Rhinolophus ferrumequinum: one gene and its partners. The protein of the gene in region 1 interacts with the protein of each later gene in a biochemical or structural test. Links are inferred from orthologs where the notes say so. Each region holds a gene or a part of one and is shown on either strand. Other genes may lie near its edges.

What was found.
Region 2: the proteins of UBE2D2 (region 1) and RNF114 form a complex in vitro, tested with the Homo sapiens proteins (3 studies listed by BioGRID, with this or other methods). The link is inferred for Rhinolophus ferrumequinum from reciprocal best matches to the Homo sapiens genes UBE2D2 and RNF114.
Region 3: the proteins of UBE2D2 (region 1) and TRIM63 form a complex in vitro, tested with the Homo sapiens proteins (2 studies listed by BioGRID). The link is inferred for Rhinolophus ferrumequinum from reciprocal best matches to the Homo sapiens genes UBE2D2 and TRIM63.

Annotation. Positions count from the first base shown.
Region 1 is NC_046307.1:14,298,094-14,301,840, reverse strand, and holds the start of UBE2D2 (ubiquitin-conjugating enzyme E2 D2), read right to left. Parts: upstream 2,571-3,747; 5' UTR 1,946-2,570; coding exon 1,922-1,945; intron 1-1,921.
Region 2 is NC_046306.1:9,562,459-9,566,205, reverse strand, and holds the start of RNF114 (E3 ubiquitin-protein ligase RNF114), read left to right. Parts: upstream 1-1,528; 5' UTR 1,529-1,576; coding exon 1,577-1,716; intron 1,717-3,747. UniProt on the Homo sapiens protein: E3 ubiquitin-protein ligase that promotes the ubiquitination of various substrates. In turn, participates in the regulation of many biological processes including cell cycle, apoptosis, osteoclastogenesis as well as innate or adaptive immunity.
Region 3 is NC_046292.1:17,859,403-17,863,149, forward strand, and holds the start of TRIM63 (E3 ubiquitin-protein ligase TRIM63), read right to left. Parts: upstream 2,224-3,747; 5' UTR 2,082-2,223; coding exon 1,923-2,081; intron 1,020-1,922; coding exon 847-1,019; intron 1-846. UniProt on the Homo sapiens protein: E3 ubiquitin ligase. Mediates the ubiquitination and subsequent proteasomal degradation of CKM, GMEB1 and HIBADH.

The DNA of each region.
Region 1 (3,747 bases):
AGGAGGGCTCTAGGCAATAAACTGGGGGAACATACTAAGTTTTGAAAGTTCAAATTATCATTGTCTAAACTTGATTTTCCTCATTCAAATTTTTATAAGGGGATACTTTAGAGAAAATCTAGAGAATTTATAGTAACTCAAAAGAAACATTATTACTGAGAACAAGCACGTTGGAAGATTAAAATGCATGTTTTGAGTGCTATTTCCCCACTCTGTAAAAGATCCCTGTAACACGTTATCAATCTGTAGAAATGAAAGGCTACATCTCTTGACTGTAAGTTATCACATATACTCACTCCTCTTTAGGTTTTAAAATAAGAGCACAATTTTCTACAGGCAATAATCTCAAGTTGGTAACTTCCCCGAGACTTTATAAAAACCTAGTAACTCCTAAAACCCTTAAAAATGCATATATATAAAAAAAAGCATATATAGTTTTACTTGGACGACCATTCCTCAGTGTGTTCCTGCCCCTTGAACGGTTAAGAGATCTTTGCTTAAAGTTCAAGCTTCATTTAACAAATAACCTGCTTCATTTCAGTACAAGATTTACTCTGTCTAAAGATTGCCCTTTTTCATTTGTTAGAAATCAAAGAAGTCAAAAGAAGTTGGTAAGGATCTAACCTAATTTACAGTAACCATTGGGATTAATTTCACATTAAAGGTCTTGGATCAAGAATGAAATGAGGACCAACTGCTGAGCTGAGGAGTTTAACTTGTCCACCAATCAGCACTTTCACTAAGTGTAAGGCAAGGTGAAAATTGGTTCTCTTGCCCTTGCATCTCCACCCCATCCTTCAGGATGGATAATCCCAGGATCTACTCCTAAATAGCTAGAGGTTTAATACAGCCAACTGAAACACCAAACAAAAATCACCAGTGGTGCTTCCCCACTTCTATGAAAAAAACATGATAGTGAAAGGCACTAGGAAATTACAATATTAGAGGGGGGAACCCTAAATTTTAAGCAAAGTCTATATTCTAGAAGCAGTATTAGGGAAACATTCGTATAGGTAACTAACTGAATAACCCTTCATCTTAAAGGGCAAAGAAGTCCTTTCTAATGGAAAAATCTAACAAAATCCCTTCGAAACTAAAAGGGTCTCCCTGAATGTATCACCTAATTTAAGCTGTAAAGGGAAACTTTGTGTAACTTCTCCAGTGGGTTTCAATGTTCAGGTTTCTACCACTACCCCTGCCAATTTAACAGCTTTTCTGTAAGATCCATTCCTGCAAAACTGAAGTTTCTGATTACATTTGGCAACCTCAGGAATAAAACACTTCTCCCTCTACTGCCCTCCTCCCTCAAAGAATCAAGTTTTTTTCCTTTCTGAACTTCCTACTTGAACAGTTTCTGGACGAGTAGAGTGGACCAAAGTGTGCGGCCGCCAAGAGGTGAGTGCACTCAAGAAATACTTGTGGATCGGACAAAAAGGCTTCTTCTGCCTGCCTGATATGTGGGCCCCAAGCTCGGGCGGTTCAGAGGAGAGCCAGGGCAGGTGGGGGGGAGGGGAGAACCGGCAGAGAGGGGCAAGGAGCCCTTTCGACCTCGGTCGAAGGGGCCGCCCAACGCCCCAGCCCCCCCTCCCGGCATGCCGGGACAATGGCCCTCTAGCGCAGCAGTCCCCGGCCGGGGAGAGGCCCTGGGACTCCATACCACCGCAGAGCCTAGAAAGGAGGCCGGGAAGGAACTCTGAGCGGGCCAGAGCACCTCCGGCCTAAGCGCGGGCTGCGCGCCCGGGCCTCCACCGGCGCCATCACTGGGAGTGGGGTGTGAAGGCCGCCCGGCGGGGCCTTCGCGGGCAGCCGGGTCCGAAGAAGATGCGAGCCCGGTGGAGGCGACGGCGGGAAGTGCAGGCCTCGGCCTGCTCAGCTGGCCCGCCCGGCGGCCCGAACCCACAACCGACCTCCGGCCGCTTACCTTGTGGATTCTCTTCAGAGCCATCGTGGGAGGCGGGTGGCGGCAGCCCCCGGGGCGGGGACGGGGACAGGGGAGGGATGGGGAAGGGGCGAGGGGGCGCGAGGCCGCCTCGGTGATCACGGGTCGACCGGAGAAGATGGAGAGTCCGGGAGCACGGGTCCGCAGGGACCGACTGAGGGCCGAGGCCCACTCGGCTCCCGAGCCAGCTGCAGCGGTCACCGCATCACCCGGCGGCGGCCCCTTTATGCGCTGCCGCCCGAGCCGCCGCCGCCGCCGCTGCCGCCGTAGCTGCCTCTTCCTTCTTAGCTCAGCACCGCCTCCTCGGCCGGCGCGGATCCCTCCGCCGGGTAGCAAGAGCCCAGGCCTCAGGCTCGGCGGCGCCTCTGGGTCGGACAGCTGGAGGGACTGCCTGCTGCAGGTGGACCGAGAGACGCGCGGGCGGACGGGCGGGCGGCGCCGCCGGGGTGGGGCCGCCCGAGCGCGGGGTGGGCCCAGGCCGAGGGGCAGGTCGGAAGGCTCGGGGATTGGAGGGCCAGGGGGAGGAGGGCTGGGTCGCGTCTGCGGCGGAGGGATACGGGCCGCCCCTGTGAGTATCTACGCGCCGTCGCCGTCGCTGTCGCCGCCACGGCTCCCTAGAAGATGACGCCGCGGAGCCCAGAGAGGAGATCTCGCGAGAGCCGTGGCGCGGGTCATGGATTCTCCCGCGCCGCGACTCTTGAGTCCCTTGCTTTTGACACGCGCGTGTCATCAGAGATCAATAAACGTTTACAGGCGAATGTTTTCCCGGTCGCTCGACTGTCCCCATAGCATAGACAAACCCGGGAGGAGGCACTTAGTCCCACTGCAGTGTTCTTAAGGAGGAAGGGACTTGTCCAAGGTCACACAGTTCCACAGTGGCAAAGCTAGAACTTTCCCAAGCCGCGTGTAACAGCCTGGACCCCTGCAAGGAATGTAGTTCCGGGCAGCCCTGAGATAGCTTTTCCGATCGAGGCGTCAGCTGGGTGACAACTTCAACGTCTCAGCATTGGCATGACAGTCGTAGAAGTACCCAGACCTCACGCTCTTTGGTGAATTGTTACAAACACGCACTGTACCAATTACCTCAGAAAAAAACTTGTACAGTTTGTGTGTTCCGGTAGTTAAAACCAACCTTGTGGTTCAGATAACCATCAGGAACAAGTTTAGAAAACCTATTCTGGAGTTGTTTTTTAGGGGGTGGAGGCAAAAAGCTAACTCACTGAGCAACTACTACTCTGTGTCGAACTCTGTACCAGGATCAATGAGATATAAGGCCAGGCCTGGGCTGGGAGGTGCTTGTTATCTGGCTGAAGACACTTCCAGGGGAGATTAGTAAGGAATATTTTCCTTGGGAGATGATGTCCACGTTCTCAAGTGCACCCCGAGGTTTTCTGATTCTAAAACTGTTCTTTCCTCTATCCAGAAGGGACCTTTAAGATCATTGATTCTGACTCCTGAATTTAGACAGGAGAAACTGGAGCCCCTAAGAGAAGGATCTTGCCAAAAGTCATGCAGTAGAGAGCCCTGTCAATACTTATATTGCCTCACCTACTAAGTAGAGAAGGTTAGGCCAATAGGGCAGGGCCACTGTAGACTCAGTGAATCAAAGGAGGGAAAAGCTGTATCCAGTCATCCAGGTTGGGTGTGTTTGAGGTTAGAGGGGAAAAGGAATATTCCACAGCCCCAAATTGTTTCTTCTTAATACGCGTGAGGAGAGAGACAAAAATGCCTATTGGTCACATTTTTAAAATTTTTTCTTCAAAAGCTTTTTTGTATTAGAAAAGCAATGTATATTAGTCGCAAGAAAT
Region 2 (3,747 bases), on another chromosome or scaffold:
GGATTTATTCATGTAAAAGGCTTAGAATAATAAGCACCAAAAAAACCCACATTCACTATGAATTATTTCAATCTTGTTCTCTTGCCTCTGTGACAAAGTATAAGCTCGTGGAACGTTCCTTTCAAGAGCTCAAACTGGAGGCCCTGGGTGGATTTGAAGCCCAGGTCTGAGGCTCTCTTCCCACCACCACCCCTCACCCACATCCCCACCCCCACCTCCCCAGGGTCTGGCAGCAGCTACAGGGTCAACACAAAGGCTTATAAATACCGGCAGCTACCTCTGCCCTCTGTCTGCCCTGGAAGGGAGAGAGGAGAGAGAGCAGATGAATGGGTTCCTGGCATAGGAACAGGAAAAAGAAACAGGAAAGTGTAAGTAATCAGAGGCCTCGTGGGCTGCTGCCTACCTGCCAAATTATTTTTTGGTGAAAAGATGCCCACGTGGTTAGCTGAAAATAATCCTCCTGATGCCACCAGGTCAAGCAAAATCAATCCAGATGATTGGGAATAGGACAAAGAAGGCACAAACTTGCATTCAATTAACCTGGTTTAACACACGAGGTTTATTTGTCCCGTGTAGCCTCCTTACTGTGAAGCCTTTGTGGCCTTTCAGGTGGAGGTTTCATTGATCGTTAATTTTCCTGGTTAAGCAAACCACGCAGGGTTGTTAGCACAGCCTGCCTTCTAAAAAGATGTATCTTTTGTTAAATGGGCTGCATACAAGAGCTAACTGGGTGCAGTAGAAAGTGGAGGAAGTTAGGATTCAAAACATATGGGGTCTAGGCCTGCTCCTTTCTTGTGAGATTGAGGTTTAGTCTATCTCCTTAAGCCCCAGCTTCCTTGTTTACACAGAGCAGGAGCTGGATTGCATTGCCAGGAGACACGTGAACACAATATTAACGTTGACTCACGGAGCGAGACTGGCTTCCCATTACTTCTGCTTTCGCTAGCAAGTCTCAGTGTGGCGATAGCCTGTCTTCAACACCTGTCTAATAATGGCTAATTTCTCTTTTCAGCGTCAGCAGTATCCAGCATGAATGAATGATATTTTGTTTCCATTTGTATTTTTGTTTTGTTTCCATTGTATTTTTACAATTTCCTTATAGAAATAAGTGAAACTGATTTTCTATTTGTGGCTCAGGAGTGATATCAAATCTCCCTTTAAAATTTGTTTGCTTACGTTTGAAGGAAGCAACTCGGTTTGAAGAGAAATATTAAGTAATAGTGCATAAGTAATATTAAGTAATAGTAATAATTTAAATTTAGAAAAGAGGCTGAAGCACAAAGCCCGTTCCAATACTACCAGTCTGTGGATCTGGTTTCCACATTTTCCAGATTTCCGTCCGCCTCTTCCCCCCTCCCTCCGGTCAGAGGGGCCAAGAAGGCGTGGCGCATCCACTAGCCCCGCCCCAGCCAGGCGTACATTCCATAATCCGAGCTCTTAGCGGCCCTTGCTGCCCAGGAGCCCCGCCCTCTCTCCGCCCCGCGCCCCACCCCTCGCGTGCACCAGCGTGCCTCCTCGGCCCCGCCCCATCGGGCTCCTCCTCGGCCGCCGTTGCGGGGCGCTCCGCGGCAGCAAGATGGCGGCGCAACAGCAGGACCCTGAGGGTGGTGCGCAGCTGGCAGGGCCCGCGGCTGAGGCGGACCCACTGGGCCGTTATACGTGTCCCGTGTGTTTAGAGGTGTACGAGAAGCCGGTTCGGGTGGTCTGCGGACACGTGTAAGCGGCGAACCGGGGCCTGGTCGGGGGGCGCCTGACTGGGACGGGGAAGGGATCCGAGGGGCGAGGCCCCGTCAGGGAGCGTCTCGGGCGGGAGCTAGAGGACCGGCCTAACGGGGCTTCTCCAGGGGGCCCTCCCGGTCTCCTGAAGGCTCGTGAAAGTTGGCAGGGCGCTCTTGTCTCCCGTCCTGCTCTCTCCCAAGTATCCCGCCCTTCTGATGAGCGCCCGCTGTGTTCAGGCCGCCTGTCAGCACCTTCCCACGAGCGATGGTGGAGTCGCACCGTGCTTGGGGTTAGGTACGGTCTACAGTCCGCTGTCCTCGAGAGCCCCAACTTCCCTTGAGTAGTGCGTACACCTCCTCTAAAGTCGATGCATACGGAGTCGTGTATCCAACTCTGCCAAGTAATTGTAACGTGCACGAAAGTTGGAGAAACGCTGAACTAGACTAAACGAACAAAAGGGAAGTCTTGACGTAGATCGGAGCGCTCTGCCCTTAACTGGGACAGGGACTGCGAGTTGGCAGACAGGGATTGCCAGCGTTCCTCCTTCCGTGGGTACGAAGCTTGTTTCATGGTACTTGAAATCACGCCTCCATGGCCCGCATATTACTAACAGACATTGTGAGGACAAAAGGAGTTGGGGGTCAATGTCAGTGTGGGTCCCGGGCTGGGATAGGTGCTTGGAGGCGTTTGAGCTCCGTCAGACACAAAAACACACCTACGTTGAAAGAACTGTAGAAAACTTGACCATCCGCTTCTTGCCTCGGAGAGTTGGCATTTCCTCCATGGCCTCCCTCAATGCTTGTCGAGGGCAACACGTTGGCATTGGGCTTAGGACCCCTTTACTGGTCAGTCGGCACGCTAGGCACCGGCGGGGCCTCCCAGGCATTCTTATTTCCACAGCAATCCTGCGGGGGAAGAGGGTTGGGGTTGGCAGCCATATTGCAGGTGAGAGTTCTGAGGCTCACCAGGGTGTCCGACTCTTCCCAGATGGACTGCAGGCATCTGTTTGCCTGCCCAGAGAACAGCTGGCACCTGGCAAGGGCTCCCCGGCCACACTGAGTGCCTTTTGCTTCTTCAAGTACATGAAGCTCTTTCTCCCTGGCTGTTCTCGTTTGCAGTTCCCTTAGCCTGGAACTCTTCGTGCCCATCTGCACCGCCCCCACCGCTACCCGACATCCTTTTCAGACCTCAAGTCCCAATTTGTTACCTCCTTTATCACCGTCCTCATGGAAGTCACCTCCAGTTTCTTGCACAGAGCAAAACTGATGGATCACGAGGGCAGTGACCATGTCTGCTTTGCCCCTCTCTGTATCCCTAGTGCCCTGCACAGTGACCATCCATCTTCTAATCTTATATTCCACAGACTGAAATATTTGTGTACTCACTCTGTGCCAGATGCTTGGGACATAGTAAGAAAGAAGGCCATGCTGCCCTCAATTCACGAGGCATTGACTTGATGATAAGTACAGAGGGTGCCAAAAAAAATGTACACACATTTTAAGAAAGGAAAAAGCTGTATTAAAATTGTAATACTCAATATATACAGATAACAAGGATAGACAAGTCATGTGTATACATTTTTTTTGGCATCCCGGTAAGTACCAACAAATGTTTAGACTGTTGTGAAAATTCATTGTGCAACGGGAGGTTACTGTAAGGATCAAACCTGTGTGTGTTGACGGAGGTGGTAATGGATGAATAAAGAGACTTGACCCAGTACAATTGACCAGCTGAACAGCAGCAAAATTTGAGGTTTCCCTGAGCCAGGTGAACCTTCCCTGGATCAGAGGTCAAGGGTCAATACTGGGATTCAAACTTTTCTATACTCATCATACTAGTTCCACATGTTTATCAGTTCAGTGTTGATTGAAGACAGATGGATGCACCTCACTGAGGGCAGCGCAAGTCTCCCTTAGCTCCAGCCACCTGCTTTTCGCTGCCCCTACTTGGTTTTTGCTAACTTTCGTGCTTGGAAATTTGAGCATCACTGCAGCTCTGGCTGGGTGGGATGTTAGGTTTTTATAAAAC
Region 3 (3,747 bases), on another chromosome or scaffold:
TAGCAAACACAGTTCCCCAGGCCAGGGCTTTTTCTCACTAGGACTGGTCTGTCACCTTTCCTTGGGCAGGACACTGCCTGCAGGCAGGCACTCGGTGATGGTTTGGGACCATAAGATCTGTGAGGTCAGCAGCCTGGAAGTCTTGTCAGGATGTCCTGATTTGTAAAGATCTCCCTAGTAGCTGTGTCTCTCTCCAATTGGAGGCCCAACACTACACAAGCTCTACCACTCACAAACTGCCTGAGACGGAGCTGCTACTCTACAATCATGGAGACCTGGAGCTCGATCAACAGGGCCTACTCCCAGCTCTTCCCCTTCCCAGCTGGGAAAACTTGGGTGATTGACTTCACCTCTCTGAGTCTCAGCTTCCTCATCTGTGAAATGGGGATGATGAAAGTCATGCCTGATCCATAGCATTGTTGTGAAGCAGCAGGTTCCCTGTGCCTGGCACTGTGCCTCCTGGCACATGGGACCATAGCTGTGGATTCACGATAGAGAAACTGGCTATGTTCTCACGGCGCGTTCTCTGTTTATCAGGGCCACTTAGCTGGCCCCAGCGTCTCTCTCTCCCTCTCATATCTCATCTTTGTTCCCTGGTTCCTATCTCAGTATTTTTCAGGAGGGCAGCCTGGGCCCCTTCTCATTCACTGAGTCACATGGAGAATCAGGGTGGGGGGATAGAGTGAGCCTCTCTGTTCCTGCCTGAGAAAGAGGGAGACTGGCTAGGGTCACTCGTCCAACTAAGGGGACAGGATCCCAAACAGAGGAAGGAGGAAGAAGCCTGGGAAGCTGGGCACAGAATGGCTGGGGAGGAAGGACGGGCTCGCAGCAGCCGGAGAAACTGACCTTGAGCACTCCTGCTTGTAGATGTCAATTATGTTCTCCACCAGCAGATTCCTCTGCAGCCCGTACACTCCATGACGATCCATGATCACCTCATGGCGGCAGGAGGGGCAGCGGAAACGGCCTCCAGACATGGACACCGAGCTACCCCGGTTGGTCCAGTAGGGATTTGCAGCCTGTGGGTGGCAAAGGCAGAGATGAGGCCTGGGCTCCCTCCTCAGCCCTTTCTAATCTCCGATTATCCTGCCCCCTGCTTATTCCAACCATTTTTTTCAAACCACATGACCTGGAGCCCCTATCCTGAGAGGAGAGGCAGATCGCTTACACAGGGAGCACCTGAGAAGCAATGAAGCAATCAACAGGTTTGGGAGTCAGCAGGCCTGGGTTTGAGTCACAGTTATTCTCCGAGTAACTCGGGGCAAGCAACCTTCTTTCCAAACCTCAGTTTACCTATTCATCAAATGGGCATTGTAATTAGAGCCAGCTCCTAGGGCTGCTACTTTAAAGATAAAATAGTGACAGAACACTTTGTAAAGTGCTCCTGGGGAATCTTGAGTACTGCCTTCCAGCCAGGACATCCACTCTCAGTCCTTTCTTAGGGAGATGAAGCCCCTCCTCCCCTATATTAGAGGCAAAAGCCTGAAAGGGAAGATGCTCCACTGCCCAGGGCCTCCCGGCCACCCTCCTCCTGCAGCTCTGGGCCACCTGCCACCAGAGAGCTGGCTCCAGCCCCAGGGGTCTGGTTTCTCTCTCCTCTCTGCCTGCCTCCCTCACTTATCACTTGAGGCATTTGATTCCTGATTGAAGAGTCAACTGCGGTGCTCAGGGCAGAGATGGCCGGTGGCAGAGCTGCAGGCAGGGTGGGGAGGGGAAATATGCGTCATGGAAAAGGAAGGGCAGCCAGAGCTGCCTCCCCAGCCGCCCTCAGCCCTGTCCAGTGGCCTTTGCAGGGGTTGACTTTGCAGGGGAAAGAACCGGCCTGGCTTAGAAGAATCCTGGGCTAAGAGAGATGAGCTTTCATCACAGGAAAGCTGAGGAGCCACCTGGGCCCCCAGGACGAGGCCATGCCCAGAACTGACCTGGAAGATGTCACTGGCACACTTCCGGCAGAGGTTATGCTGACACGGCAAGATGACCACCGGCTTGGTAAACATCTCCAGGCAGATGGGACAGATTAACTGCTTCTCCAGGTTTTCCAGGGGGTTCCCATCCTGGATCAGGCTTGATTTATAATCCATACTGTCAGGAGGTGTGGGGCCCACCTGGCTGCCTCCTTTACCTGCTTCTGTCTGAGTAGACCTGCGGTCTTGCCTTTGTCACAAAACACTTGCCTGGAGCCTCTTGGCCTTCTTCTGTCGGCGCCTGAATTCTGTCTTGGTCTGAGGCCCCTCCGATATTTATAGCTGGACCCTGGTCACATGAGCCCCAGGAGGGGACCAGCTGAGCATTCCAGTGCCAGTGCGGCTGGCGGGGCTTGAGTTTCCTCCAGGCCTGCAAGACTGGCCTCTCAAATCACATGTACGTATGAGCAATCGCTGTTCCCCTGGGACGGGGGTCGTAAACAAGAACAGCCTGTTCGTGGGCACACTTGGGGGAGGACTGGGTACCCAGAGTTTCCTCCAGAAATCAGTCTCCTCCCACACCAGGCTAGGGATGGGACCCAGAGAATGGGCCACTGGGATTTGTGGGGTTAATAGCCAGTGCCCCCTCAGTGACCACTAGGTCCATCCCTGCTCTGGAATCCCGGGCAGCCCCTCTCTCTGAGCCCATCCCTCTGCCTCAGACCTGAGCACAGCATGTTTCTGGAGACTTTGAGATCCCCACCCTGGCTAGACTGACCCCCATCCCTTGGCCATTAATGCCACTGTAATGCTGAAAGGGCTCCCTTAAAACATAGTCCAATCCCCTCACTTTATAGATTTTGAATTGGGGTCAAATAAGGACCTTAGTCAAAGTCAAAAAAAGTAAGTGGCAAAGCCAGGAATCTTATTCATTCATGAGATATTTTTCTGAGTACTAACTATACATTGGGAACCAAGGTGACAGATAGATGAGTAATCCTTTTCTCTGCCCTGAGATGCTCACAGCCTCGGGAGAAAGACAGACAGAAATAACTAAGTTCTACCAAGTCACTTAGAAGTTAATCAGATGCTCCCTTCTGCTCTCTGCACCAATTTAAATTTTTCTCCATGTCCCTCTGGACATCTTCCGGGCTGACAGGTAGAAGTCATTACAGCAGTTCCAATGACTGCTTTTAAGGTAGAATCTCATGTAAAGGGACAGAGGGCCACCAGGCTAAGGTGCGGGGGGTGAGAGTAGGAGCAGTAACATCAGGCCTCAGGATGTACCTACGAGGGTATGGAACATATAGGAGTGTCCAGGACTTCATGGAAGAGGGATGGCAGGAGAGCAGGTTTGATGGCCTCAGTGTGGAAAGAAGTTGATGGTCAGAGCCCTGAGACTAGACCTAGTGAGTAGTGAGGGTAAGAAGCCAACCTTGGGGGAGGCAATAAGAGGGAAAAGAAGAGGGGGACCAGTCAGAGAAAGAGAAGGGGGCCTAGAACACACGGGGCTGGGGAATTTCAAGGAAAGGGTGGTTGCCCCAAATATTAATGGTTAGTGTTCGCTGAGCACTTACTATGTGCCAGACACTGTGCTAAGTACTTTGTATGCATCATTTCATTTCATCATCTCAACAACGTAAGAACCATATCCCTGAAAAGGGTTCCTTAGACCCAATTCCAATATGAGAGACAGAGGATTCCCCCAATACCAACAAACAATTCTCAGATACCAGCAGGGTGTCCAAAAATTCCATTCAATTCTCATGCTATCTACCCAGGTGATAGCATCAGATTCCACAGGTAAAGGGCTCAGTCCCAGAAGACCGCCCTCCACTTCAGA